Drosophila melanogaster: one gene and its partners. Changing the gene in region 2 together with the main gene of any one other region gives a genetic interaction. Each region holds a gene or a part of one and is shown on either strand. Other genes may lie near its edges. The genes, in order: bs, Pax, ssh and tsr.

The links.
Region 1: of Pax (region 2) and bs, changing one suppresses a phenotype caused by changing the other (phenotypic suppression), as found in Drosophila melanogaster (one study listed by BioGRID).
Region 3: of Pax (region 2) and ssh, changing one suppresses a phenotype caused by changing the other (phenotypic suppression), as found in Drosophila melanogaster (one study listed by BioGRID).
Region 4: of Pax (region 2) and tsr, changing one suppresses a phenotype caused by changing the other (phenotypic suppression), as found in Drosophila melanogaster (one study listed by BioGRID).

What each region holds. Positions count from the first base shown.
Region 1 is NT_033778.4:24,339,719-24,347,328, reverse strand, and holds the start of bs (blistered), read right to left. Parts: upstream 4,469-7,610; 5' UTR 3,240-4,468; coding exon 2,655-3,239; intron 1-2,654. UniProt on the Drosophila melanogaster protein: Required for the formation of intervein tissue of the wing. Acts in a dosage-dependent manner to suppress wing vein formation and promote development of intervein cells. Might play a role in the proper formation and maintenance of the trachea.
Region 2 is NT_033779.5:19,419,458-19,426,857, reverse strand, and holds the start of Pax (paxillin), read left to right. Parts: upstream 1-3,305; 5' UTR 3,306-3,443; exon of another isoform or gene 3,444-3,579; intron 3,580-6,666; 5' UTR 6,667-6,904; coding exon 6,905-6,989; intron 6,990-7,090; exon of another isoform or gene 7,091-7,177; coding exon of another isoform or gene 7,178-7,400. Other genes in the region: lectin-37Db, read right to left, coding at 7,178-7,400.
Region 3 is NT_033777.3:24,938,029-24,945,878, forward strand, and holds ssh (slingshot), read right to left. Parts: upstream 5,868-7,850; 5' UTR 5,622-5,867; coding exon 5,562-5,621; intron 5,494-5,561; coding exon 5,248-5,493; intron 5,183-5,247; coding exon 4,791-5,182; intron 4,499-4,790; coding exon 4,433-4,498; intron 4,370-4,432; coding exon 4,175-4,369; intron 4,109-4,174; coding exon 3,839-4,108; intron 3,754-3,838; coding exon 1,401-3,753; 3' UTR 975-1,400; downstream 1-974. Other genes in the region: Nmnat (nicotinamide mononucleotide adenylyltransferase), read left to right, coding at 7,230-7,425, 7,498-7,850. UniProt on the Drosophila melanogaster protein: Protein phosphatase which regulates actin filament dynamics. Dephosphorylates and activates the actin binding/depolymerizing factor tsr/cofilin, which subsequently binds to actin filaments and stimulates their disassembly. Required for axon growth.
Region 4 is NT_033778.4:24,042,753-24,050,013, reverse strand, and holds tsr (twinstar), read left to right. Parts: upstream 1-3,208; 5' UTR 3,209-3,345; coding exon 3,346-3,348; intron 3,349-4,831; coding exon 4,832-5,022; intron 5,023-5,094; coding exon 5,095-5,200; intron 5,201-5,263; coding exon 5,264-5,410; 3' UTR 5,411-5,561; downstream 5,562-7,261. Other genes in the region: sei (seizure), read right to left, coding at 1-583; gammaSnap1 (gamma soluble NSF attachment protein 1), read left to right, coding at 1,181-1,245, 1,308-1,375, 1,564-1,679, 1,754-1,948, 2,018-2,088, 2,155-2,509, 2,693-2,731; IntS1 (integrator 1), read right to left, coding at 5,676-7,261. UniProt on the Drosophila melanogaster protein: Exhibits F-actin depolymerizing activity and regulates actin cytoskeleton dynamics. Required for cytokinesis in both mitotic and meiotic cells and for aster migration and separation. Promotes cell motility during ovary development and oogenesis.

The DNA of each region.
Region 1 (7,610 bases), on a different chromosome or scaffold from region 2:
TCGCACCGCATCGTATCGTATCGGATAGGATCGGATTGGATTGGGCTACCCCATCCCTGCCAGACATCGATTGGCTGCCAATTTTATGTGTAACATGTGTAAATGCAAACAATTGACACGGTCCGAAAGCGGAATCTGAATCGGATTCCGATTATTCTCGTTCTGATTCCGATTCGAAATCGCATTCGGATTCTGATTCAGATGCTGGTTCTGAGTAGGTGTCGATTGTGCGGCTAGGAAGGAAGGCTACTTGGGCACCGCGAGCAGGCCAACAATTCATGTCAATTTGAATTTCGAACAAAGACAAAAGGACACGACTCGGATTCGGGCGAGGATTGGGGTACGAGCGCGTTGACAGGACAAGAAGGCAGCCCCAGAGACCGCGACCGCTCCGTCCAGATGGAGAGTCATTTGTTAGAAGCCGATTGTTGCCTGTTTTCCCCGTATGTGGCAGAGGCCACAGCCTGTTGCATGTGGCCAAAAGGCGAGCCGACGTGGAGCCTCTTGGCCCGGCTTTCTGGGTCTTATCTGGGCACAATCTGCCGACGAGGCTGCGGCCTAAGCTTCCGTGCTGCAAGCTGGCCCCGAAACAAACAATTCCCAAGCCCAATCCCCAATCCCCAATCCCAATCCCAGGCCTCGTGATTTCAATTTAACACCTTTTGGCGGCATTTTGCGCCCGGCTGCCCTTTTAGCCATGGCCAATTGTTGGGAACTTGTCGATGGCTTCTTGTTCGATGGCCGTGCATTATGCAGAAGCCAGAAGCGAAAGCTGCGAATCCATCGATGATGCGGCCCACGCAATTAGGCTGGCCAGCAAATGAGATCACTTCTGGACATTAGCTCACTTTTCACTCTCGTCGCCTTTTTTGGCCTTTTGACCACCGCCACCCACGCCAAAAGAGCCCCGGCTCTCGGCCAGATCGAAATGACCAAAATTGGCCAGTGGAAAGCATGCCAGCAGGTTGGCGCGACAACTCTCTGGGCCAAGTTCATTGGCCGCAATTTGTTGGTTGGCTGCTAGGGATTCGAATTGGGATTGGGATGGCGGATTGCAGATTGCCTCTGCGCTTTTTGCTGCTACCGCTGGTAGCGCCAAGTCAAAATCCCATTGTCTGCCTGTCAACTGTCCGCCGGCTGGACATCGATGAGGGACCGCATCAAAGTCACCAAAACGATATTTTTTTGGAACGCATATTATGGAAGCGGCCTTTTGTCCCGGGCGTGCGCCTGTCATAAGCTCGGCCCCGAGAATCCACGTCCCAGGGGTCAAATGTTTTGGATACCCTCACCGATAAGGAAACACCATTTCGGGATCAACTGAGATTGGGTAAAGAGGAACAGTTTAACAGGTTTGGGTTGCTCACTTCCTCTAATTCAAGAATCATAAGTTACTTTGCGACTTAATAATGAAAGTAAATAAACTTCAGTAAATAAATTAAACTTATTAAACATTTAGTTTATACTTGACATTTTATTGCCATTCTAGCGTACAACAAGCTAAACGTTTTCCCAAATCTCCCCTTTTAAATTTAAGTGCTCCAACGTCTTTGTTTTTGGTCTGCTTGGGTCAAATATTTCATAAGATTTTGTGTCTTGGGCAAAGATCGTGCTGAGATCGTGATTTAGCGCCGCGATGTTGATGCTTTTTGTCTGATTTTGATCGGGGCTTGGTTCAGCTAGTGGCCAGGGAAGTCTATTTCAGAAATGTGAAAAATTTCATATACGGCCCCCAGATCGATGGAAAGCAGCAGGAGCTAATGCAGTGGCATTATGTAAGTTTGCGTGTGAAAATTGGTCATTTGAAAATGCCAAGGCAACGTTGCCAGTTGCAGCGACTTGTGGGCCACCATCCACAAGGAGCACGCATCAATTGTTTCGGGGGAGGAGTGCTCCGTGGGCAGGAGCCTCCTTTGAATGCAATTGCGGCGGCAAATTAACATTTTATGAAGCCGAAAACAAAGGCAACGCGGAATCGTGGGCTACCGCGCTTACACAACGCCGCCAAAGCGGCCAACAGTTGGCCAAACAGACGCGATCTGGCCAAAAGCAGAGGATCTGCGGCTACTGTTCTAGAGATGAGCAGAGGTACTTCGCGGGCACAGTGGTTCGGGTTTTTGAGTCTTAAATCAAATTGTTTAGCATTAGGTTTGGGATCCCAACATAAGGTGGCCTATAAGCAATTTCCAAGCAGAATTTGTATTGGTCCAATAAACATACTTCCAAGTGGAACTAATAATTGGTAATGGACACAAGAGAAAGATTTGAATATTTGAACTGACGAGTAATGTACACAAATGGTCTAACTGTTGGATATATCCATTGGGTACTTGATATTCCGAGATGGTTCTCCTATTGTGCGCCAGCTATCCCGACCACTGTGCCGATGGCCAATTGACAATAAATCCTCGCTCTTTCCGGAGGCAGAACAATGCCAGAGATGTGGGGGAACTGCTGGATTCCGTCGCAACTGAATCCCTGAAGCATTTATTAATTGCACATGCGCTGGAAACGTGGCCCGATGTCAACATCCCAATTGCAGCGCCAATCGTGGCTGGAATGGGGATTGGGATGGGGATCGATTTCGGTTTCGGGGTTGGGTTGAAAATATCGTTGGGGATGGGGATGGCGTAGGGGTGCTCCAGCGATCTTACCTTCTTCATTATGCCCGTCTTGCGCTTGGAGAAGGTCGTGTAGCGACGCAGCTTATTGTCGATGTATTCCATTTTGATTTTGACACGTCCCTTTGTCTTTTTGCCGTTGGCAGGCGGAGACTTCTTGTTGGGCAGCGGGTTGTAGTTGTCTACGCTGTCGTCGACGGCTCCGCTGGCCACGTTGTCCAGTCCTTGGAGGGTGAGTCCGCCGGACGAGCGGTGGTGATCCTCGTAGCAGTCGCTGCCGGAGCGCTTAAGGCCGCGTTGCTGCTGGGGATGCTGCTGCTGCTGTTGTTGCTGCTGCTGGTGTTGCTGCTGCTGCTGTTGTTGCTGCTGCTGCTGCTGGGAGGCGTGCTGTGGGCTGTGGAGCGTTTGGCACTGCGGGGCAGGGGGTGCTCCTGCCGCGGGATTGGGGCGCTGCATCGGCGGAACGCCGCCCATGTTCTGGAGCAGGCCACCGGAGGGCGGGCGGCCCGCCCCCAGGGCCGGGTTGCCGTACATGTCCGCCGGATCCGCCAGGCTCAGCCCTATGCTACTCATCGAGTAGTTGAGATTGTACCGCGAGTCACCTCGCGTCGGATCCATTCTGAGGTAAAAGTTCTCCACCGTGGAGCCGTAGAGATCCAAGGCACCGCGCGCGTCTATTATTGCGTTTGGGTTTCGGGTGCTGGGAATCTGAATATCTAGAATCCGGCCGCGGCACACTTTTCAGATCAGATCGCTTTATATTCCAAAAATAAAACCACACAGAAAACACTCAACGCGCGCGTTTCGCTGGCGTTTTCGGCCTTTTTGGCGGCGGCGGGCGCGTTTCTGGGGCGGTTTTTGTGCCCGTCTGCCTGGGGGCCAAGTTCTCAGTCGAGGAAAACGCTATAACTTATTAAAAACCCGGGTTTTTTTTGGCCAAGAACGCGAATTTAAGTTTCTTAAGTGCACGCACACACTTACGCGCGCACACACACAGGAAAACTGACAGCTGACAGTCCTGCAGTGTTGGAATGCGGCTGAAGTCCAGGGATGCAGCGCTCGTGTGTTGCGCAGTGTGGTCGTTTGGCGCGGAATTTGAATTTTGGTTTGTGTTTAATATTTAGGTTCTGGACCGCTTTTATGGCTTGTTTCCAATGGCTTTAAGTTTCTTTATGGCTTTTAATTTCATTTAATTGTATGTTATTTTTTGGTTGCAGTTCTTTTAGTATATTTTATTTAACTGGTGTTAAGAGTTTTTATCTTTGTTTGCCTTCTAAAACTTGTGATTTAATATTTAATGTTTACTATATGTGTTGTTTGTTGAACTGGTTTTAGATGATTTACCAAATCCTTTCTCGCGTTTTATAATTGTTGTGGTTTATTGGGATGTTTGCTATTTTCTAAAAGTTTTCGAAGGTTTATCATTGAAGACGTTCCTTCTCATCGCTGGCTGATGGTGCTTTATTCCTTTGATTATGGCCTCTATAAGTTGTTATCTCCTTAAGTCTTCCGCTTGCTGTCTGCTTGTCTCGAACTGATTGCATTAATATCCGTTTTTTGTAAAAATTGTTTAAGTGTTTCTGGTAAAAAAAATACGCCTAACTTTGTTTCGACTTCGTAGATTTAGTGCAGTTATGGGAAATATTTGTGTTTTTGTTTGTTCCGTATGCGTTGCAGTTGGTTTGCTTATTTGTCGCTAGGCACTTGTTTGGACTGTTTACTTTATTTGTGGCGATTTTATTGTGGTTCATTCCAAATACGAATTCGAAACGATTCGACGGGCTAAACTTGCGATCGATAGCTGGCGTTCGTTGTTCTTCAGATGGCGTGCAAATACCTAATAAACTTCAGCGTATTTCCACCAACGATGTTCGCTCGATATTCCAAACTTGGGCGAACCGGTTTCCTCTTTTCCTAAGAGCGCCGCGCTCTCTTCGATTTCGAACGCGAAGAGTACGGAGTACATAAAAACAAACCCCAATCCCCCATTCCCCGACCCAATCCCCACCCCCGTTCGGCGTCTTCCTGCTGCCGTCGTTCATTTTGCTGGCTTTATGGCTTAATTAATTAGATGGCCACGCCCCCATATGCATACCCATTCGCTGCGCATGCGCACACATAGATCGTGGATTTGGGATTCATATGGCTGGGTGGCTCATTGGCTCCTCCCCTTGAAAACTCGTGGTTGAGTTCGGTAATTACATACGTGGCGTTTCGCCTTATCAGCGCTGTTAATTTAGTTAATTTGTGATCTTCTGATTTTGTGATTTTCTGATTTTCTTATTGCTGATTTTGTAATTTCTTTTGCGACATTTCGCAGGCTGAGCTTTGCGGGCATCTTGAGTGCCCGGGCGCAGCAACAAAAAGCGATACACTTAAACTATGCCAGGAATTTCTTAGCCCCGCCAATATGGTCAGAATGCTCTAGAGGATTTGCGTGGTGGGCCCACTTGTACACAGGAGCACGAGTATTTCGCCATGTCCTTAAATAGAGGTTCGCGGAATGGGCAAAGGGGCGGAGTGGGCATGGCCACGTGCAGCGACTAGCAGATAGCAGCAGATATGTATATAGTAAGCGCAGATAAATCGATACACTCACTGCGCCCCGATCCGCGATCGAAGATGATGCATTCCCCAGCTGCAAATGGTCATCGTTGCCTTTTCCAGCCATCGGTGTCGTTGTCGCCAGCTTGTCTCTTCCGCGAATAAGCCAGTCCAGGTCCCGTGTCCAGCTCCACGACTCCGACTCCGAGGTCGACTCCGATCAAGCACCAGGACCAGGACCACAGCCAACTGCAGCTCCGCTCCTCTCGCATTTAATTAGATGGAATATAGGAGCTCGATGGTTTGTCTACCTGCCCGGGCTGCCTAATGATTTAAATTAATCATAATGACTGTCAAAATAGAACGTTTGCCGCTGCCAGCGGATCATATAAGGATCGATCCACGCAGCGGGCACCAGGTCTTCTGGACACTACGGGAAAACGGATGCCACTTGGGTCACTTGAATCTGAATGATGCCTTCCACTTGTATTCCCATTTCCCCAAGACTGCGAAAAGAAAGAACAATAAATAAAGATGAAGTTTGATGATCCCCACGCATTCCTAATAATTCCGTATTTTATATGGATTAGGTTTACAGATGGGTCATATGACATATGCATCTCTAGCTCTGTGACACTTTTTTATTGTGTAATTTGGTTTTAGTTGTTTGCTAAGTATTTCTCCGAGTGCATTTCGATGCAGCTTCTGGTCCTGCTGACATTTCATCATACTCACACGGCCTGCTGGCTGTTGGCTTCTTGGCTTGTTGACTTGTTGGCCTGCAAGCCTGGTCTGAGGTTCTCACAATTGTAGACGCGTTCTGTGCAGCGCTTACTAATTGGTTAGTTGGCTGCAGGCTGGGCTCTTCAGCGTCTGCAGCCATCCAGGCCCTCTTTCTCCGCCGTTTTCTCCTCCACCGGCAGTAGGAGTCCGCTGGCTCCAGTGCGGCTGTCTTTCTAGGCAATCGTCAGCCTGTCTGGAGGAGAACTCTTGGCTTCTCTTGGAGGCTTCTGGCCAGCTGGGAACAACTGCAACATGCTGTAGTTTTTGCCATCGCACTTTCCGCGGAATTCTCCCCAGCTGAACATTTCTAATACTTAATTATTTGCTTGCCGTTTTACGTGCATTTATTTGAGAGGGGACGAGGGGAATTAGGGGGCTGCTCCTGATGCTGCTGCTCAGAGTCCGCATTATGTAATCCTGCAGAGTTCACCTTCAAAACGGTGGACAGATCATCTAGGCATACGGATGGCATAGGTATATTCCCAAATATATTTATAACTCGAGAGGAGCGTTTGTTCCATTTACGATTCCGAACAACTTTTGATTTTGCAGCTAGCCATAGCCATAGCCACATATGTGTATATTTATATATATAGACTTTTTTACTATTTATAGCGCTACTTGGGCATTTGCCTTAAGCCAAAGCCAAAGTGTTTTAAATAGTCGAAATATGTAAATTTCCTTTTTTTTTGTCTTTTTCAGTATGGTCATGCGGGAAAGTATCTGCGAAATATTGTGTTAGGATTTCAAGTAAAGCACGAGATTCGGATGGCAAGTCATTGGTACGACTGGTGATAGTAGAATTGGATGCAATTAAGATAGCAAAAAAAAAACGAAAACAGTACAAGCGACTCCCCAGGTATTATTCAAAATAGAATATCTATTATCTGCGCAGCAAGCTGGTTGATTTACACACTCAAACCACCGAGCACACACACTCCTTATACAGATGGGCCCGAGATCGGCCAATCGGAATATATCTGATTGAATGCAAGAACGTGGCACATGAGCACATGACTGCGGTGTATGATCGCCGGAAAGCGAGTGGCCAAGAAACTCAGGTGTCTAATTGGGCGCTGGGGTGACAATGAACCACTTAACCAAGCCAGGTCCAACTGCAACTCCTGCTCCTGCTCCAGCGCACTAAGCCAAAAGCCTGAGATTGACAAAGCCGGCAGAGAAAACCGCCAACGCCAGCTCAAAAGTCGAACCAATTGGCAATTGGTACAGGCGATCGCAATGTTTTTGCCTCATGAATAACGCATAAGGAGCAGGGAGTAGGGATTGGATTGGGTTGAGAATCGGGATCGGGATCGGAATCGAAATCAGGATCGAGCTCTGCGAGACTTCGGGGCAATTGTCTGGTCGCTTGTGTTACAATTTAAATAAAATTGCGGCTCCCTGGGCGAAAACAAAAGGAAAAGCTGGGGGTTTTGGCCTTACGATTTCGCTTCTCAGTTCTCTGTTCTCAGTTCTCAGTTCTGGGCATTGGTTTTCTTTTGGGCCGAAGTGCAAGTACCGTTTGTGCACAGGAAACAAAAGCACCGCTACAATCATAAAACGATTAACAGGTCGTGACCGTTTCACCTGATTACCGGTAGTCCGGCTCATTTGCATGCAGGTGGTGCCGCGTCTTTTCACGGTGACAAGTGCAGGAAGTTC
Region 2 (7,400 bases):
TCACAGAACACAAGGTAATATGATTTGTATACGATTTGAATGCCGCTCACTGACGAGAATTCCAGTTGGAACACCTACCAACTTTCCAACAGTTAGTTTTAAACCGTTGGTTGGTATTATCGACAGCGGTAAGTTGATAAGTATTTTAGTTAAGTTTACCACTTGATTTCTTCCTCGGTCGGTGCGATAGTTCCAACTGCTATCGATAGCTAATCAGCTGTTCGCTCTCTCCAGTTGAGCGAGCGTGCGCTTGTGCTTGTGTGTGTTCCTGCGTTCGTGTACGTGATTCAATGTTTTTTTTTTTGTATTGTTTATGACCGCCGCCGCTCCAAAATTAAAGTGATTCATATATAAAACTCGTCTCCAACTCGCGGCGAAATCCACCGATACTCGCCATTCGGTCGCTGGCAACAGCTTAAAATTAGTCTCCGGCCAACTCCGCGCTTTTCAGTTGCGGGTGAACAGGAAAATAAAGTGTTTGCGTGGACTTGTCGCTCTTCGCTTTCAATCAGCATCAATTAAAAAACGCGTGTGCTTGTGCCAAATAAATCCAGAAAACTGAGCATTCCAATTGGACAAGAGCGGAAAACTACACGCACACTAACGCACACAGGGCGGAAAAACAACAACACCATCGCCATGGACGATTTGGGTAAGTAAGTGGTGGTCCACTTTTCCTCGGGGAAAAGCGACTTCCTCAAGCGGAGCATTCCACAGCATAAACCGTGTGACGTAGGCAAAAGCCGCAAAGATAATTCTGCGACTTCAAGGTCAGTCGCTAATTGGAGTTAATTAACATGTAGCTGAGGATTCTGCCGTTGGCCGCCAGGTGGCGACACAGGAAGTCGAAAATCTCACGCTTGAATAATTTTCGTTTACAGTGAAGAGTGGCTAAAACGTACCTCACGTGTTGAATGGCAACGTGTGTTCTGTGTATCTTTTTAGTTATTAATCTGTTATTCACTTCTGTTTTAAGAAATTGTTATTATGTAAAAAAGTTTTGAGTGATCTTCAGTCATTGACCGAACAAGATGTGTTATTTGTTTAATATATTTCCCAATATACAAAAATATTTATTATTGAATATTTCTTGAAACTCAATATTTACTGTTTTTCGAAATTCTTATCGTAAGCATACAATCATTAATCACGATTAAAAATGGTTGTGTTACGTGCTTTAAAATTCTTGATGATGAATTTCAAGTGCTCGTCTTATCTTTGAACCCGTTCATATGTACATGGGTCCATACATACATATGTACATACATACATACTTATGTACATACATACATATGTGCAAAGTGCACAAGTAAATGAATGAGCTTTTAATTCGGGAAGTGGCTATTGCGATAGCTGTGGTCCGATTCGCGCATTCCTTGCACTTTTATGAATAATCCTAATTCCTTGAATCGAACATAAAAGCATCGCGCTCAGCACTTCCAGTGTGAAATCATTTACAATTCTAGAAAGCAAGGAGGGTGTGGTTTCTTGCAGCCCCAAGTTCGAAACCCTTGTACTCATGTGAATGATCTGGTCTGAGAGAGGCAGCTTAATCAGCCGGGCTGTATTTGCTTTCTTCGCTGCCCCACAGTGCTCTTTTAGTCTCCATCAGCGAAATAAAAGTCTACATGTCGTCTCACTTTATTTTCTTTATGACACAATTCTTCGCTGTTTCGGAATGTCTTTTGATAAAAATATAAAAGTGAAGCAAAACGAAATCTGCAGCCGAGAGTTGTGTGTCCAGAAATTCTTAAGAAATGACTAAAGGCCAGGCCACTAACACTTATGAAGAATTCCAGCTGACTTGCCCTACACCTACGCACAGTGGTCTAAGAGCCCGCTAAAATTTGCTTATCGGCTGGGCTTGTAGGATTCTAGATCTTAAGAAACTTTCATATAGAGCTTTTGCAAAATCATGTTAAATAACAAATAATATTTCAGATCACTTTTTAGATTACAATAATATAATAATAACTATAATACTGAAATTCGTTCGAGATCTTAAAATCTCAGCATAAATATTCTGCCCTCGAAGCTTTACTTCGCACAGGAAGTAGAGGCTTCAGCTTCATCTCCAACTTCATCTTGATCTTCTCCAGCAACTCAGTTGCATCAATCTTGCTTTGCTGCCATTAGTGAGTGCGCGCCCACTTCATCGCCCACTCGACACGCAATGTCTTCTGTTCGTGTTGCGTGTGCGCACTGTAACAGCAAAGACGAGATGATCTGTCGAGATCGGTTAGGTCTGTCTGGGCATTGAGCGTCGATGGCGTTTTCCGCCGAGGGGAGCACTCCAACTGCAGAGCAATGATCGCTTATGGTTACGGGGAAAGGTTCGCACAGTGGGACGAAAGGTTAAAGAGTTTTTGAGATCCCATTTCTGCCTTTTCTGTGATCGTATCAATGTATATCACAGTGTTCATGGTCATGAAAGTATATAATTAGTTATCTTCTATGTTTGTCGATAAACAATTGTAAAGCCTAAGCAGCTGTTAAGTGATAAGCATTTCCAACATGACTGTCCCAGAGGAATTTTGTTTATACCAATTTTCACTGTCATTTTATGAAACATTTAATCTTGCGGATTGTCTGTACAATTGAAGATAGTTTCAGAAATGTTTTGATATTGGATGCCTTTGACTCACGTTTTCGTTTATTCGTCAGCAACGAAGGGGTTGGTTTTCTTGGCAGCTGGCCCACTGTTCACACACCCAAAGGAAAGCTCCAATCGGGCGACAATATTTTCGTCCGCTCTGGTTTCCTTTCGCTGTGCCTCCCACTTGCGGTCGAAATGCTCAGCCGCAGGCCGCAAGCCAAAATGAAAAGCCACTCCAAGTGAAAAGCTACGTGGTGGGGCTCTTTCTCTCTTTTAACTGGCTCTCTTGGCACTGAAAATAAAATACGACAATATGGACTCTGATTTAAAATACATTTTTTTTAAATTCGATTTTTCAAAATTAGTTTACTACTTGTTTACTAGTTTATTAGTTGTTTACTCAGAAACAACAATAATCATAATACTGGTTTCACAAGCTGTAACCGCTGATACATACTTTTTAAACATTCCTTTAGATATATATTACTTTAGATATAGCCCCTATTACGAAGCTAAGCTATCGTTTTGAATATACTATGCCTATCCATACATCCATACATCTATAAATCTAAGAAGATTTTTTCGCAGTGCAGTTTGTTTACCAGCTCTCAAACGCTTCGCTCTCTTGCTCCCCCGCTCTCCGTGAGCAGCTGCGAGAGAGCCGGAGCGCTCGTCTATTGGAGCCTCAGCATCGGGCCCCCCTTTGGATTTCAGTCGATTGCGACGCTTTTACTGAATCGCGAGCGCAGCGCGTGTGTTTTTCGGAGTCTCTCGATTGCGGTCTCCCAACGGCGTCCTACGATCTCTGGGATTAATATATAGAATATGTGACAACACACTGCCAAAGGTGCAGGCAAAAGTGCACAGATAACGCGATAGAATATACATATAAGAAACCAAGCCTAATCAAAACAAAAGGCAACGAAAAAGTGTTTAACGGCAAACTACGGCGGGAAAAAGTTGATGAAAATCAGTGGAATCGTGTTAGTGGCAGGTTGGAGCGTGGGAAATTGTTTACTTCGAGTGCAAGAACAGTTTGCAGTAAAAAAAAAAGTTGACAAACATCAAAAGATATCTAGCACTAAGATAAACGATAAAGCAGGAATGCCAGAAGCAGTTAGCTAAAAAAAATAATATAATATAATAAACTGGCCAAGATTTATGGATCCGTGTCACTCGCCTTAAGATTCCACTAACTCTTGGCAAATCTTTTCGGCGCGTTGCTCGCAAAACATTTCAATTTCATTAGCATTTCCACTAATTATGGAACTAATTATCAACGGACAAGACATTCGAATATATGACATATTTGCCCAGATCTGGCAGAGCATAGAATTTTGGTTAGCCCCATTAATTTTCGCCTCGGGGCCCCGAACGGATTAAGATCGTGGGTGTGTTGAGATGGAAATTAATTCGGTATTTCTGTGTTTTTCTGGAGGGAAATGACCGAAATAGCCAAACAAACATAACAACAGGCAGCAAAAGCAATTAAATTGTGCCCACTTAATCTATTAAAATTATGACATTTTTCACATATTTCAAGCAATCGAAGCCAAGTGCATTCTCACGAGTGGTGGTGGTAGTGCGATGGGGGGGGGGGGGACTTCCTTCCCCTTCCCCTCGTAAAAGTATCTCGAGTTACGACAGCAGATGGAAATGCTGGAGAATGATGTAAACTCGGCTGACATAGTGCGCACAAATGAATATTTTGTTGTTGGGGGGTTCTGCACTTACGAGAATCGCTTTCGTTTTCTCCCCAATATTTTGTATCTCGCAGATACGTTCAGTGGATGCCATTTGTTTACGACCAGACAGCTGCTGTCTTTGTCTCTCCGATTGTCTGTGCGTTTTGAAACCTCTAACTAAGTATCTACAGATCACTCTGGATCTCTGGATTATTTGGGTTTAAAAGCTCGTTTTAAGCCCCAACTACTTAGCACCTCTGGATTCTCCATCATCGTAATTCATAGTGCAGTGAGTTCATCGCCAGGTTTGAGTTCGATTTTCGTTTGCTCAGCGAGTTGCTCTGTGTTTTGTTGTTGTTGTTCCTTGTTTCTGTTCTTTCAACTGGAAACAAGATTCTTATCGCCCAGCCATACAAATTCAATTAGAGTGTGTTGTTTCGATTGCTAGCGAAAGATGAGTGGCTTCGATAGATTTCGAAATCGTTAATTGTTAGCAGCGAGTTGATGTGCAATTAAAACATTGGGTTAGATTCATTGCTCACAAATATTTTGAAATAAATAAGTGCAATACTATTGAATTGTTTGCAATCGACAAATATAACCAATTAAGCTTCCATTGAGCCAATCAAAAGACATTGATATTTAATTCCAGAAAAGCCTTTTATCTGCTCAGTACGTAGGCCATTGGCCAATATAGGGTCTATATATCTTATCAAGACCCCAAAGGCCCCAAAAGTCAGTGGGCGATAGCTCGTCGCTTTTTCCCGAACCTATTACAGAAGTGGAATGTGAAAAGCACGCACAGTTTACAGCGGCATAAATTGGCCAAGTTTATTGAAAGGCCCGGCTAAAGGCCACTGAGCGGTGAAGAGAGATCGGTATCACCCACACAAATGAATTTCCCTGGGCTGATACCCACTTTTCCGTTTGGCCACGCATTGCGTTTTCACCTTAGCGCCTTCGGCAAGGTCAACACTCGCATTCACACACATTTTATCTACTTACTAATAAAATATTTATATTGAGATCGCTAGGAATTTCCTGCAAAATAAACACGAAATTGTGCCTTTGACTTTTGAATTTGACTTCGTAGAAGGAAGACCGAATCGAGAACAACAATTTCGGCCCGACGTCATTCCCAAATGGACTGAGTAATGCCTCAGGTGTGGAGGTAAATGGATTTGGACTTGACTATAGCCAAGACCTGGAAGGAAAGTGAGATTTTTATTTTCTTATTGCCCTTCCTTTTGGCAACGATCTGCGGAAATCTCTCGTATTTTCAATTAATTTCGCTCGATTTTCCCAGTTTAGCCTCCCTTTGTTAGACGACGAAACGTCGCCTTTGATTTGCTAGAAATGTTTTTTTTTTTTGTTTTTTTATTTTTCTTTTGGATATTTTTAGTTGGCGATCATTGGTGTTGACGTAATTTGGCAACCTTGATTCCCCGTTCCCTTCTCGATACTCGTATTTTTGGCCCGGCTCGCTTTGTGTTCGGTCGGTGAATTTATGTTTATTATTTTTTACCTTTTTCCAATGTGTCGTTATTTGTTTGGAACGAAAATCTAAAATGTGGCCTGCATGTTCATTTTGGTATTTTTATGCTTCCATAAATCTGTCTTTATAGACCGTTTGTTGGCTCAACTAAATCTACAGGCCATCGTAAATTGAGTTAGTTGCATAGATCATCTATTGAGATTCACCCACGCACATTGGGATTAGGAAGTCAGAGTAACTGGTCCGGACTTTTTGGTCTGATTTATCGCTCTTGTTGGTGTTTTTATGGATCTTTAGATACGGTTAGATTGATTTGCATCTTCAGTGATTACGCTATAAAGAACCATTTTTGACTTCTCTATCTTTTTGATCTTTAGATACGGAAGATTAAGGTGCATCTTAAGTAGAGTAATCACTTCAGATGAAGATCATTTGACTTGTTTGACAGTGGACTTTCATTGACTTAACTAAATATCTTTGTTTCGAGTATTGATTTAGGTAATTTATTTCTTAGGTTTGAAGCATGATGAACTGATGAACTGACAGACAATGTTTACATTACCAGTAGATTTATTTCTCGTCTTTTTGAGAGCTCTTCATCATATATGCAGCTTAGATCATAGATCTCTCACCTCACCACATCCCTTTAATCTTTTAATGCGGTATTTTGTCAGTCTCAGTCAATTAATAGAGGAAATTCGAATGCACAAAGCACTCTCCAGACAACAATTTCCAACATTAAATCACTTGGACTTCCACGGGGGCAGGGAACTAGTTTCTTTCAATTTTTTGTTTCTTCTTTTTTTTGTGGACTGGGGCAAAGCTCTGATAGACGGGCGAAGACAACGACAACTTCGACGACGACAACTACAATATCCACTCTCTGACAGGCTAACCCAACGCAAACAAAAACGACAAATCCGTCGTCGAGAGCCCCGAAAGGCCAAAAATAAAAATGCGCTTATAAATAATTCAAATAAAACATTTTGCCGGTGGCGCAGTGCAACATCGTCAGCCAAACCTGCAGACCTGTTTGGGGAACATAAAATGTCACTTAACATATTCTCGATTAATCATTAACGTTTCAATCAAATCAGTGCGAAAAGCAAGTGAATCTCGTTCGACACCATGGATAGAACAATGTACGGAAAGATCGATCCGGGTGCTAGGCAACCATATCGTACGGCTCGCAGCAAGGGTATCCTGCCAGGATGTAAGTATATATCATTGGTTCCACCAATACTTCCCATGCAATATTTAAAGATGTAATGGTTTCCGGTAAAAGTGTGTACCATAATATAAGTTCAACCGATTAGTATTTGCTAGCTAAGAAAAATTGCAGCTTTATAATTTTAACCATTTAGAAAACAAGTTGTTTTGATGGAAGTCCAGAGTTTGATCCTAGTTAAGCTGGCAAATGAAGGCGACGGAGCTATAGCATGGGAGGTCGTTCATCTGGAAGGAGGTTGTCGACAACCACAGCTCGACACATCGATCGTAGCCACTGCTGTTGTCCGGCTCTCCGGCGGACCAGTTAAGAAACGGAGCCTCTAGACCAGTGGCCTCCGACACGTATACGCCCCGTTCGCCGAGGTCATTGATGGATAGCCAATAGCTGTAGGCT
Region 3 (7,850 bases), on a different chromosome or scaffold from region 2:
ATTGCTGGCCAGTGGCTAGCATCGCACGGTGTGCACTTGGCCTCCGGATCACCACCGAGATTCCGATTACGTTACGGTCGCGAGTCCGCCGCGAGTTCACTGCGAATTTCGTGTCGTTTTGCTTCTAATTTTCCTGCAGAAAATAAAGAAACTGTAGTGGAAGTTCAGTGCGCGTCTGTGTGCGTGTGTGTTCTGTGTGTGTGTGCTGGCGCATCTGCAGGTGTGTGAGTGTCAGTGTTACCAGGTGGTTGGTTGCGTTTCCTCCTACACATATCGATGGGCGATAGGCAACGATAATCTGCGATCTGAAAAAATCTTTTTCAAACACTGTGCCGTTAGAAAGCTTAAACAATATTTAGAAATATGATTATTATTTTCAAATCGATAAGGATTTTGTTAAACAATATTTAGAAATATGATTATTATTTTCAAATCGATAAGGATTTTGTTAAAAAAAAAACTTTTTAGAACCCATATATTTTTTCCTTCCATACACACCTTGCTATATCTACATTTAACTTTAAAATCCCCAAACTACATCAAATTACATTTATATTAAATAGTAATTGTTAATTTCTTTGTAATTATACAATATGTGAAAATAATTCATATCTCCGGTCACTATTAAATTATGTGTGTACCCAAAGGTGACTCATGGCCAACAGTAAAACAGATTGCGCTCGAAATTGGATTACACATTTTTATTTATAAATATGTGGTCTGATAAATGGCAAAAAATACAAGTGTTCAAGGTGGGAACTTTTGGGCCGCGGCCTCGGCAGTCGGTGCTCCATGTGCCGGATCACTTCTTGTACTCCGCCCAAGAGTAGCGGAAGGAGCGGATCATGTGGATAAGGCTGCAAATACAAATCTGGTAAAAACGGAGGGCAGTGTTTGTTGGGCAACACATGGGAGTTGTGGTGTGAATGGCACATGGACGGCACAGGGACACTCACAAGACAAGACGATGACGTATATACAATAAATCGTTTATTCGTAGGCAGTTCTTGCATAATATAAAATAAATATGTATACAGTTACAAGTAATTTAAAAGTACAAATACAGTTTCATTTCCATAGGTTGTTTTGTTTGCCCTCTCTTGTCATCTTAATAGTTCCATTCACACATTGCAGACACAAGATCTTTAGAAGCTTTCATGGACGCCTTACACAACAAGACAACAAACACGAGGCATGATGGAGGGGATGGATGGGGTGGTGGTGTTCGATTGTTGGACAAAAAACACAAAATGGTCGAAAGCGGGCGAGTATATAAATAAGTAAAGCAGGCGATAGGATGAGGACGATCCTTAGTGGCTACAGGGTATGGATTGCAAGTTGCAAGTGGTATGTGAATGTTGCAGTTTGCAGTTAGCATGTTGTTAAGCAGAGCATGGCCTTTACATGGTGTTGTAGGCGGCGGTGTTAAAGCCTGTTTTCGGAGCACTTAGCCTGCTCAGCGGATGCGTCTTCCCGTGCTGCGCCAACCGCCGGATCTGCACCTGCTGCTGATGCTGCTCCGGTTGCAGTTGTTGCTGCTGCTGTTGCTGGTGCTGAACGTTGCTGCTGTGACTGACGCGGACGGGCGCGGGTGGCGGTCGACTGTCGCTATAGTCATGCGTGGATCTGTTGGACAGCGAGCGGTCGTAGTAGGAGAGCGGGCGTTGCTTGAAGCTAGTAGTGGTAGTGGTGCTGCAGGAGTGGCTGATGTTGCTGGCGGTTCCGGCGGGTGGCAGTGGGGCACAGGCGACTGTGGGGGTGGCGGCCGCCTGGCTACTGCAGGAAGTAGTGGTTTGATATTTATGCACTAGACCTTTTACATTACGATCACAATTTTCGCTTACGCTGGAATCGGACGAGTTGGAGGCGGAGGAGTTGGAGTTGGAGGCGGCGGACACGTGGTTGGCATGCTGCGCCACCGGCGACGATGGCAGTGATTGGTGGCTAGTCGTCTTCTTGCCGGGATTCGCTGAGCAGGCTCCGGCCACCGCCGATACCGACGTTGCGATTGTTGAACTACTGCCCGATCCCGCTGCAGTGCCACCGCCTCCTCCTCCTCCTGTGCCCACCACTCCCGCTTTGGCTTCGAAATTTTGCTTGAGTATTTGCACATTGCCCGAGATGCGCTGATCGTCGGCCAGCGTTTGTCCCTGGACGCGCAGCACTACCGTCGCCTCATGGTCGCCTGGCGTGGTGTTCTTGTTCTCGATGTCGCTGGTGTGCATCAGCTCCTCACTATTACAGCGTAGTGGCTGACGCTGCCGCGGACTGTGCGCCGAGGAGGCGCTCCTATAGAGGCTTGGGCACCGCCTCTGCCCAGCATCCACAGCCTCGAGTAGCAGCTCCTGGCTTTCTTCCTGGCAGCGCTTTTTCAGCGAGGTGCTCTCTTCCAGCTTCTGCTTGGTGCGCTTTACGGTGCCCTCGCCAACTCCAACTATCGGTTCCACAGCAACGGCGACTCCTTCGATTACATTGCAATTGGAACTGCGCTTGAGGTCTTGGATAACGCCCTCGAAGATGGCCGTAGTGTTGCGATTGGAGTCATAGTAGGAGCCGGAACTGGTCCTCTGCGGCAGACAGCATCGGTTGTCTCCTGATCCCCAACTTGCGTGCCGCGAAGGCAGCTCCCGCTGACGTGTGCCTCGGGGACGCAGAATGGCGTTTGACTGCTGCTTCTGTTGCTGTGGCGTGGGGTCCAGGACGATGCCGCCACTTGGACCCAAGGACTCTGTCCAGGAGTGCGTCTTTCGACGCTGGCGCTTCTCCCCTTCATCCTTGGCAAAAACACTGTCCACCTGCGAGGAGAATACATCCGAACAGCTAGAATCCCGCCGCGAGTCAATATTTCCACTACTGCTGCCACTGACACTTTTTCCCAAGTGAGAGGTCTGTGTAATCAGTTTTGTCAGCGAGGTCCAGACAGGTTGCTGTGGCAGCTGGTCCGCCCGGTGCGCCTCGAGATCGTGAATTCGTGTGCGCACTGACAGAGGCGTGTGTTTCTGGATGTGCAGCACCTGGTTCTGGGTGACGCTGTAGTTCTCGCCGTTGCTGCCTGGGAAGCGCATATTTTTTGGCTCCTCGGCCACGCTACGTTCCGGCGTAAGGTTCTCCATAGACTGGCTTTGCTGCTTGGTAACCACAGCCGTCTGGGTTTTGGGTGATGTGCTGCTCGAGCGCCTAACCATGCGACGCTGTGACTTCTGGGCGATGGATCGCCGGTGCATGCGTGAACCATCCTCCTCTTCGCCATCGGGTGTTACGCCCGCTTCACCAGTCGACTTCGACTTGGCCTGGTTTAGAGCCTGAATGAGGGGCGTTGGTTCGCTACCAGGCAACAGTCGCGCGTCCTTTGTGCTCTTCAAGTTCGTCTCGCTCTTGCTGCGCTGCAGCTTCTCCTTGTTCTTCATGGCGTCCAACATCCCACTATACGTCTCCAGCTGATTGAGGAAGTTCTTGTTGGGCTTTATACAGCTGCGCCTCTTCTTCACGTGCTCTAGCGCCTGCTGGAACTCCCACTGGTAAGCCTTCATGGCATATGCGATGACAACCGAGGCGGATCGGCTGACGCCCATCTTGCAGTGCACCAGCACCTTGGATCCCTCGGCTTTCGCCCGCGTGATGTAGCGGAACGTATCGTCCCAGTACTTGAGCAGGTTCGTCTTCTCATCGTCGTACACGCGAACGTTGAAATACTCGAAGGTGCCCGGAAAGAAGTTATCGATCTCCCGCGTCACGTTCAGGATGTGGCGAACGCTGAAAATGAAAATAAGTTGTCGCTGATTTTAGCCAATTTTCCCAGGATATCAATAGTGTGGCCTTTTTTTTCTCTTAAACATACCCGTTTTTCTGCAGCTCCTCCAAGTTGCTGGCATTCCACTCTGATCCCAGATAGACGTGCTCGAAAATCTTGGTGGGGGCATCCATTTGGCCTAGAATAACGAGCATTTCGGCGTCGATAAACGACTTGTACTCGCCCAAATCCATGTCCAGGATCTCCTCGAGGCGTCCGCGTATATACTTGGAGGTGACCTCGTCCAGGTCCACTGACATCATGATGGCCTTCAGCTTCATCTTAATGACACTTTCGGTTTCCTCCTTTTCGGGGGGTCTGTTTATGGCATTCAAGGGAAAGAGGAATTAAAACCGTAAATAATTAGTTGTACCGAACCCTTACTTGTTTCGTATGGCATCAGGCGAAGGTGGTCGGCGGCTCTCGAGCGCGTCCATGGCATTCCACTCGTTCAGACAAGACTGGTCCGACTCGATGCGCCTCTCGTAGCTGGATAGCCAGTCGTGGGAGGGTCCACTGGCATAGAAGTTGTTCTCACGAGCCTTTTTCGACACTTTGTGCAGCGTCTGCAGCGCGGACCTGGAAAGAAACAAGGGTTTAATTTGTGACTGAAGGGGATCTGACTCCAAAGGAGGCACCTACCACATGGCCTGCACTGAGACCGGCTTAAATATATGCGTTTTTTCGTACACTTTGACGCTGAATCCGCTGAAAGCAAGATAAGATAAACCATTGAAATTAAGGAAATGCACATCACACGTTTATCAGAACAAATACACTCTGCCATGCTATTATTAAAATAGCTTAAGATAAATTGGAAACAAATGTGCGACATAAATGCCACCGCTCAACTAGGAAATTGGTCAAGGCGACACCGATTTGTGTATAGATTAGGGGCGGCTAATTTTTAAATTAATTCTATAAATAATTCCCAAGGTTAATAGCGACAATTAGGCAGTTATGAGTGCATGACTCTTACGAGATGAATGCCCAGTCTTACCCATCGCCATCCAGGTGAATTGTGGTGTCCGCCAGGATGGGCACCACCAGGCCAATGGTGGTCCGCTCGTTGCAGTCTATGCCCAGCAGGCAGGACTCCTCCATGCCCGAGGTATTCTTGTTGTCGCCGGCCGCCGTTGCGTTTTCCTTGTCTGCTGTTTTATCACATTTGCTGCTGGCCTCTGTGGCGGTCTGCTCAACGGACAGCTGACGCTGCGTGGGGACCGCCGGGGAGGTGGACGACTTTGTTCCCGCGGATCCACCAACTTTTACCGAGTGGTGACGCATGATCCGGTGGCGCCGACGGTCGCTGGTGCCGCTCCGACAACAACTACGCGATGCAATCACCAGATAGCGCGTGCGGTTGGACCGCTGTGACTCCAACTTGACAGCCTTTTGATAGGAATAGAAAGATATGTTTAAAAGATAGACAAAGTAATTTTACATTGGATACGCACCATCTTTAGCGTGTCCTCGCGCTGCAACAGGTAAAACATTGATTGCAGGTGGAGCTGGATGTCCGAGTTGTTGCTTTGCGTACTGTTACTGGAGCGGGTGGAGTCGGTGCTCAGGCGACGCTCGCTTTGCGTCAGGGGCGGGATATCCTTAAGAGCCAGTACCAGGGCGGTTCCCTTGCCGGCAAAGAAGCACTCGCTGCGATCGTTTCCTTTGCTATTGCCCTCGTCGTCCTCGGACTCGCCATCCTGATGTTATAGAGAAAGGAAAGTTGTTTACTCGGTGTTTAAGAATACCTTATCCTGCTGCACCTCACCCGTGGGGTTAGGCTAAATATAAGGATGTCGTCTGGCAAAGAACAAACTTGCATGCTCATTATTTTGCAAAGGGGTAAGATAAACTCCTGATTATAGTCTACACTTCAAGGGCGGAAAAGAAGCAAAGCTGTATCTGCAGTTCCAAGAAATCTGATTGTTCAACTGAATACCGTCTGATTTTGAGAAAAGGGTCACAAGTTCGAAAAAGATTCCGGTTTAGTGAAGTATTTTTTTTTTTTTTATATTTTCTGATTTCTTAGAAATAATAAAATGTTAATTTATGTGTTCAAAAATACCGATTTGACATATTGAGCATATCTGAATTAAAACGTTTTGTAAAATTAAATTGATCAACCCCCGATATTAATTTTTCCCTCTGTGCAGGCGGACGTCAAGGTCTCGCGAACTATTTTTGGGCGGTGGGGCGGCGAAGAAAACAAAAACAAGCGGTAAGCGGAAAGCGACAAAAACGACAAATAAGGCAATGCAAAAGTCTGTTGAAAAATATAGACGTCGCGACGTCTGCGGATTTGCTTGGGTTACACCAAAAGCAGCGCAGCGCAGCACAGCCGATGACGATGATGACGCTGCCTCATACCGCCCACACGCGAACGTTGAACGTCGAAATCCAAAAAGCGTAAGCAACAAGCTGGCGGATGATAAACATTGGGCATGAAAAGCACATCCGAGCACACAAAGGATCATGGCCAAAAGCGGAACACGCACTAAAGAGCCTGCCCGTAATTGGCTCTCCTGGCAGAGTGGGGGTGACCAAAACAAAGCACACACGCATACGCACACGCGAAAACCATCAAGTCTCCTCTCACCGAATTCGAGCAGGAGCCCGCCACACTGGGAGAGCGCTGCACCGTCACCAGCGCCATTTGTTGTTGCCGTGGTCGTGGACGTCGTCGTCGTCGCCGCAGCCGCTCCTCCACCTCCTGCTCCTCCTCCCCCGCCGACGCCTCTTGACCCTCGTGTTCCACCTGGCGCAGATGATGGCGATGCTGCAGCGGTGTCCCTTGCAATCCTCTCCTGCTTCGGCTCCTTCTGCTCCACCTCCTTTTCCCTGTGTGTGAGTGTGCGCGAGAGTGTGTGGTGTGTGTGCAAGTGTTGTGGGCTAAGGCTACAAATGCATTTTCATATCGCTGCCTGCTGGCCGTTGTTTTTGCAGTCGGCTCCGCGACCTCGTCCTGCGATCGTCTTGGTTTCCGCTTTCCGGACACTCTAGCCAGGCGGTTCTCTCTAAGAAACAGCGTGTCCTTACAATTAACGGACACACACAACGCTGCTAAATGGTAAATAGACTACACGAATTTTTCTTAAAAGAAAGACAGTGAGGACGCCATTTCTAATCGATAACACTAGTATCGTCAGGCAATCGTTCTGGCAGGGCTGGCTAACTATCGCAAGCGAAAGCAATGTTCGTGTGGTACACCGAAAAAAGTACTTATTAATGAGAAACGCAGTGATGTTTGTATACTTCTTGATATATCAGTAAAACAGGCTTTAATACATTTTTATGTACTCTTGCCTTTTTGATGATTAAAAATCAAAAAATTAAGTTACATTAAGTTATCATTTATCGAATAACAAGTCAAAGGTAGTCAGAGGTGGTAGCCACTGCACAGCTGTTTAGTGTTGGAAAATAACAACAAGCCGAACAGATGATTGTGAAAATCAGCTGGCCCAAGAACAACATAACAAGCGAATGCTTCCGGCGGTTTGGATCTTTTAAAAGACGCTCAAAATCGAAGAAAATGTCAGCATTCATCGAGGAAACAAAAAGCCTGCTGCCGCGGATCGCCTTCATAGCCTGCGGATGCTTCAGTCCACCCACACCCATGCACCTTCGGATGTTCGGTGAGTTAAACTAGATTGTGAAATTCTGCGGTACATAATCGATAAAATTACGCGGCATGTTTTTGTCAACAGAGATAGCCAAGGACCACTTCGAAATGCAGGGAACCCACAGAGTGGTAGGTGGCATCATCTCGCCCACGCACGACTCATATGGCAAAAAGGGTCTGGCCTCCGCCTTGGACAGATGTGCCATGGTCAAGCTGGCCACCCAGAGCTCCAATTGGATTCGGTTGTCCGATTGGGAGGTGCACCAGAATCAGTGGATGCGCACGCAGGCGGTGCTCCAGCACCACCAGAACTATATCAATAACCACATAAATTCCGGCGGGGGAGGCGGAGATGACGGGGAGAACACACATCTACCCGGATGGCTGCCTCGTGGGTTGCACGACAGTCGGGATCCTGTACATCTGAAGCTACTGTGC
Region 4 (7,261 bases), on a different chromosome or scaffold from region 2:
ATTTCTTGAAACTTTTCTGCTTTTTGTGCTGACTTGGCTTGGATTCGAGTGGGATACCATTGGTTTCGACAGCATTTTCCCCCTTCATGGGCTTCACTTTTTTCAGGCACTCCCTTTTGTTGTTGATTTTGAATAGAAGAGGCGAAAAGAAGCAATCTGCCGTGATTTTCGTGCCTGGCCTCTCCTTCGATTTTCCACCAGCCTTCAGCTTTAGGGCTTCATCATCGTTAGTGGGTCGAGTCCTCAGGAATTTGTGGTACACCAGAGTGTTGTGGTCGGACACGTTTTTCGGAAACCGCGCCAAACTCTCCTTCTTGTCGTCGAACATGCTGGCGTTAATCAGGATATCTGAAACGAAAACCTGCTTCTTTTCAATCTTGTTCAGGTTGCACATGAGCGAGAAGAGTTCCCTCTCCACAAATTTGTTCGATTTTGCAGGGCAATTGCGCTTGAATTCCTTCACAGGCGGTTTCTTGGCCGCATTATCGTTAATATTGTTGTTGGACATGTACAGCTCGCATTGCTGCACTATTTTATCCAATTTTCGAATTTCGCTCAGTTCCACGCAAGATTTGTGGGACATTTTTAAGTCTGCAAAGTATAGAAACGAAAAAGTGTTGCAAATTATAATCAAACATTCGCAAAGCTCAGAATATCCGGATTCGTAAGCAAATTCAAATAAATCTTCGCTTAAAAACAACTTAATAATAAATCCAAAATTTCCACTTACTCCAGATTGAAATTGGCGAAAACTGCGATTTCTTACCTAATGCACTTTCTTATTTACTTGCAAATCAAAACAGAACAGGTATGACATGCACGCGGAGAAATCAGGAGTGGAAAATCATTTTCAATCAATTAAAAACACTTCAATTCGATCTTGTTCGTTACACATACTCTACTTTTTAAATATCATAGATAAAATAAAAAAATGAATAGATGTATGTAAATACATGGCATTTTCATTTCGAAGTCAACTGCTTTATAAGACCAACTTTTTTTTCCCGGTGTAATCAGGCTTTGCTTTTCTGAAATTTTCAGACATGCGTACTGCTTTCGGTTTTCAAAGATTCGAAACCACCGTGATTTTCGAACCATTGTTATTTTCCTTCTCGCATTCGGTCACACTATTTTCAAACGTAAACAATTGATTTTTCCTGCTAAACAAAAGTGGTTGAAAATGTCGGGAATCGCTGCCAAAAAGATTGCCGAAGCGGAGGACCTGGTGAAGCAGGCCGAGAAGAGGTATCCCCAACAAAAATATCCTTATAAAGGGGTTTCCAAATAACACCCATCTTTATTTGCAGCTTGAAGTTGTCCATGCTGAAATGGGTTCCTGATTACGATAGTGCTGCGGATGAGTATTCCAAAGCTGGTGAGTTTCACAAAGTAGGAGTGACTAATATCACCCAGAGTATCTATCTATAAAAACATTGTGACATCAATGAGATATGTAAATACTATGAATTACAGCTAACGATTATCCCAAAGTATCCATAACTTGCAAGATACACACATATTGGTGTACAATTATGTATCTTTCTTTTACATTTTTAATTGCAGCCACTGCATATCGAATAGCTAAAAGTTATGATAAGAGCAAGGAGTGTTTTCTGAAGGCAATCGACGCCTATAAAAACAACAAGTCTTGGTTCCATGCTGCAAAGGCATACGAACAGGTGAGCTTAAATTGAAGTTAATATAAGTGAAGTTAATAGGAAATTTAAACCCTCTAAATGTGCACATCTTCTAGATCATTTTGCTGTCAAAGGATGCCGATAAGCTACACGAAGTTGAGGAATACGCCAACAAATCGGCGAGTTTGTATCAACAGCACGGTTCCCCAGAGGCAGCCGCATCCGCCTTGGATAAAGCCGCCAAGTTAACTGAATCCAAGCATCCTGACATGGCTTTGCGCTTCTATCAGCATGCTCTAGAAGTCATAATGGTTCGTCCTATTTGACACTGCTCTAGTCAATTCCATTCTTAAACTATTAATTTTATACTTACCCGACAGATCGAGGATTCCGTCCGTCAAGCAGCCGAGTATGCATCAAAAGTTTCCAGGATACTGGTCAAACTAAGGAGGTATGTACCTATGATTGCAACGAATCACTTTGGGTATCCTTAGCTTATATCATCCAATCACTCCAGGTACGACGAAGCCACGAATGCGCTCAAAAAGGAGATCAGCTTGAATCAGCAAACGGAATCTTACGGACAAATTGGACGCCTAGTTGTGGCCTTGGTGATGGTCCAACTGGCTCGCGGGGATTCCGTGGAAGCCGAAAAGACCTTCAGGGAGTGGGGAAACTGCTGCGAGCCAGAGGAAGTGTCCACACTGCAGACCCTTCTGCAAGCCTTCGATGACGAGGATCCCGAGTTAGCTGCTAGGATGCTGGCATCCCCATTCATACGACATATGGATGTTGAGTACGCTATTCTATCTAAAAACATTCCACTACCTCAGGGTATACAGATGGAGAAGAAGGCTGGCGACACTGCTGCTGTGAGTATTTTTATTCTAAAAATGGAATTTGCAATTTTTGTTTTGTAAATTTGGCTCTTATTATGATGTTATCGATAGGCGATTGAATCTGCCTTTGTTGTCGATAGAAGACTTGGGACAGTGCGAAGCAGTAAACTAAATAGCTAACAAGAATTTCGTATTTTCTCTCTTTCTCTCTCGCAGGAAACCAACGACGCCGAGGACGAAGGTGGCTTGTGCTAAATTTCTTAATGTTCGGTCTGCTTGTTAGTCAAAATATATTTATCGTTAATAATATCGCTTTTAACATATTATATTAACTGTTAAATACAAATTTCATCGCAATCGTTGTACTAATTAATAAATACTAAGATCAATACTATACAACAAAGAATATCATTAGCTTTGGGATGAATTGATATTGAAGTAATAAATTGTAGCTATAAGTGTAAACTATGTATATATATTCTATGTTCCAAAACAGCGAATGTGTTAAGATTCAAATCTGTAAATCTTCAGCTTTATTACACGAAAGTATAGTGCAATTTGTTAATATAAATAAATAAATTAACTCAAACTATACTATGTATTTTAAAGCACCCTAAAATATTTGACATTTTGAAAGATCGAAAGTGTGCCATTTCACCGTTCCAAACGCTTCACAAACGTCGCGACGCGTCACGACGCATGTTGATACTTTGCCGGCGCCTGGCAACCCTAACCTGTGCGAAATAACCGACCAAATTGATTCGTCCGGTTGTTCGTGAAAGAAGGCGGAAGGTTAAACAGTATTTGTAAAATATATACTCGGCGAAGCAGCAATTTGAGAATTGTGAAAGCGAAAAACTACAGGAAAAATGGTACGTACACTTGGGACTCGCATTCAGACTCGGTGGTAAAAGCGGCCGGTCATTGTGCACTTTTGGAAGCGAGGTGGAGTGCAAATAATGTCTTCGATTCGATGAATCATATAAGCATCTCTCCTTTGAAATCTGTATATACATACATATTTAGATAAGTGTGTATATATCAATCATACATATATTTCCACTTTTTTTTGCCTATATGTTCGTTGGCCATATTCGGGCATATACATGGTCATGAATGTGTGCGTATACATATATACCAAATTAGTCATTGGTAGCAGCGGATATTACTCATTTATTGGAGTGTTTCATACTTCTCAGCCGCCACTCACACTCATAACTGGCAAATTCGCGAAAGGCAATCGCGAAAGAATGCTCCAAAGTGGCAGCTGGAAAAATGGAGCGATTAAAAATTGAAATGTTGGAAAGAGAAATGCACACACATTGGATTTTCATGTCTATACATATATATATTTTTACACACTTGAGCGTGTGTGGGTATACCGCTTTTTTTATATTTCGATGGCTATAAATATGTGCGTATGTATGTATCTGCGGGGCAATGCTTAATGCTTATTTTCTCGCAGACGCAAAATGTGTGTACATATGTACGTCCATATTACCATACAGAAATATGTATCAATATATATCCATATATGTATCTGCAGGCATACATATTTAAGGTGTGATCGTTTCCTTGCCGCCTTGCGGATGTTCATACATACATACACATGATGTTTAGCTGTGTGTGTGCAGCAGACGACTGTTTGCATGTGGGACGATTTTGATTTTCTCGACATTTTCCGAATATTATGGAAAATCGGGCATTTTCCACCGTTTTGTGAGCGCAACGAAATCGTGGGGAAACAGCCACCTCCCTTTTAGTTTTCTTTCTCCCTCTTGTCGGCTTGTTCTCACCCTTAAACTTGCCGGCACTTGTGAACTTACCCTTGAACTTTCCGAGCGCCGGGAAAAAAAGAAAGGAAAATCTAACTGTAAATGGTGCCACGCCCACCACTCCCAGATAAATCGGCGTGCCAAGTGTGCGCACGCCTTAACCGGTAAAAGTTCTGCGGTGGCAATGCAAATAAAGTAGCATAAATTATTTACCTTTATGTTTGTTATTGCCGGCAATCAAAGAAATAAAATTGCAAAGTCGAAAAGGGACGGATATACTGTCAGCTGAAGGTGGGCAGTTATGTCTGCCAGTCAGTTACATACGCACATATGTACATCAGTGAGGTACAGGGTGCCTCGTGTCTTATGTGGGCATAAAACATTGAACTTCACTTATTTTTTTTTACAATTCAACTACTTGGTACTTCATGAACATTTGTTTTAAGGGAATACTTGGGGAAACGCAAAGAGAGCACCCTGTATCACATACATGCACACACACTTGGTTGACAGTTTGGCGCGCATTGAACATTCAAAATACATTCTCTGATTTGCATCTCTACCTTCTCTCTCTCTAAAGGCTTCTGGTGTAACTGTGTCTGATGTCTGCAAGACTACATACGAGGAAATAAAGAAGGACAAAAAGCATCGCTATGTCATCTTTTACATTCGCGATGAAAAGCAGATTGATGTGGAGACTGTGGCAGATCGCAACGCCGAGTACGACCAGTTTCTAGAAGATATCCAGAAATGCGGACCTGGAGAGTGCCGGTAAGTTCCGCCGGTTAGAGACACCCAGACCCATCGAAACTAACCTAATTTAACATCTATTCGCTTGCACAGGTACGGACTGTTCGATTTCGAGTACATGCACCAGTGTCAAGGCACCTCTGAGAGTTCAAAGAAGCAAAAGCTGTTCCTTATGTCGTGGTGTCCCGATACTGCCAAGGTATGTGAATAGCCAGTTGCCAAGTAATGGCGCAGAACTCATTTCGATATCACACACCCACAGGTCAAGAAGAAGATGTTGTACTCCAGCTCCTTCGATGCTCTCAAGAAGTCGCTCGTGGGCGTCCAAAAGTATATACAAGCCACTGATCTTTCCGAAGCCTCCCGGGAAGCCGTCGAGGAGAAACTCCGGGCCACCGACCGCCAATAAACTGTACGAGCACTGTGCATTGCATTTAACAAACAAGGCATGCATGAAACAGCGATGGAAACACGTATCCTGTTGAGATCGCCAATTTGTATGAGAATTTTCTACATAATTTGTATTTTCAGTAGAAATAAAGAATGAAATATTTAACTTGACCAAGTCGCGTTTCCGCTGTGGTAAAAATCTCGTACCGCAGAATACACTTTATTATAAGGAGCAAAGATTACATTGTACATATGATGACGGTTCTAACTTATAGACCGAACGCTTAATAGCCATGCTGGATCACTAGAGTCTGGAGAACCTTTCTAATCTGGTGGCCAGTGTTCAGGCACGACTTCAAGCCCAGCGAGAAGGCCACCGTTAGGATGTCGATTGCGTGTTCCTGCAGCAGCACCGACATCTCCGGCAGATTGTCAATGGCCGTCGCTGCCACCGAGGAGTTCTCGTCCCGCAGGCACTGAATGTAGGCGTTAAGGGTGCACAGGTTGATGTCCGAATTGCCGGGATTGTGCTTCAGATGCCTGATCAGTATGATGAAGGCGATGGACCGGATCTGGGCACTCGGCGAGAATATAAGGTTGAGCAGTCGTTCGAACAGCTCGTTGATGAACACAAATCTCTTGGAAGTGAGGCACTCCAGCTCCTGCATGGGACCCAAGACCACGTCCTCCGTGTTGGACTGCTTTATGATCTTGACCAGATCGAGGAAGTGCGGCGATATGTCCGTGTAGTTCGACCGGCTGTACGAGCCCAAGGTTAGAACCGATAAGGGACCCCTACTGCTGCTTGGATCGATGGGTGTTTGCGGATTCACTTCGATGGGATCCTCTGTTACCACGGGCTTGCTGGCCGATGGCTTTACATCGAAATGCTCATCCAGATCGTACTCGTACTTAACTTCCTCGTCGTCCAATTCCGTCGCCGAGTGCGACTTGTGCTGCAGCAGGGCAACGGCCTGGACCAAAACCTGCAGTTTGCCTAGTGAGGTGTACTTGGCTGCAAGTTCCTTCAGGATGCCCACGTACTGTTCGATGAAGAGCAGAGCACTTGAGGGATTGTAGTTGATGTAGGCTTGGAGCATCTGCACAAACTTGTTCAGCATTTGGCAGGCCTCTTTTACGTTGCTGTGGTGCTTGAAGAAGTTGAAGTAGCACGACAGCGTGTTTTGGATCTCGTTCTTGTACGCCTCCTCAAAGATGGTTGGTTGCAGCAGCTCCAGCGTCCTCAGGATCTGTACAAATCGGTGGAAGTGGTGCTCCTCGCGCAGGGCCTTCATGCTGAGCTGGGCCCGACCTTGCATAATGGACGACAGCACGCCCAGCTGGCGAAGGAAGAGAAGCGGGTGGGAGGCAGCCAGCTTGCGAAGGAGCAGCTCGGTGTCCGTGGACAGGGTTTCAAAGTCCTTTTTGCCCACCAGACTGCCCAAGCAGGTGATCAGATTGTTGGACACCTTGTCCGCCTGGCAGCCCTTCAGATTCTGCAATTTGTACGCCTGCTCGCCGGTTTTGCCCGGTTTCAGAAACTTGATGCGCGGATACATGATGTACATCTGCTGGAGGACCTGCAGTTTCAAGTAGTCGGACACCGAACTTTTCTCCACGTGCTCCATTACCTTGACCATGAGGTCTCGTCGCTTCTCTGTGAGCTTAAACAGTAGGTTCATTCGCGAGCAGAGCTTGAAATCATAGTTTTTGCTGTCCAGCTTGACCTCGGAAAGCCCTTCGTGAAGGATGAAGTGGGAGAACGGCTCCAGTTCAGAAGTCCTCAGCATGAAGAAGGCATCCGGCCGTACGTTCTTCGACATGTACTTGTCGCGTCCCTTCCACAGCTTCGGATTGGTGGTCAGTGCCT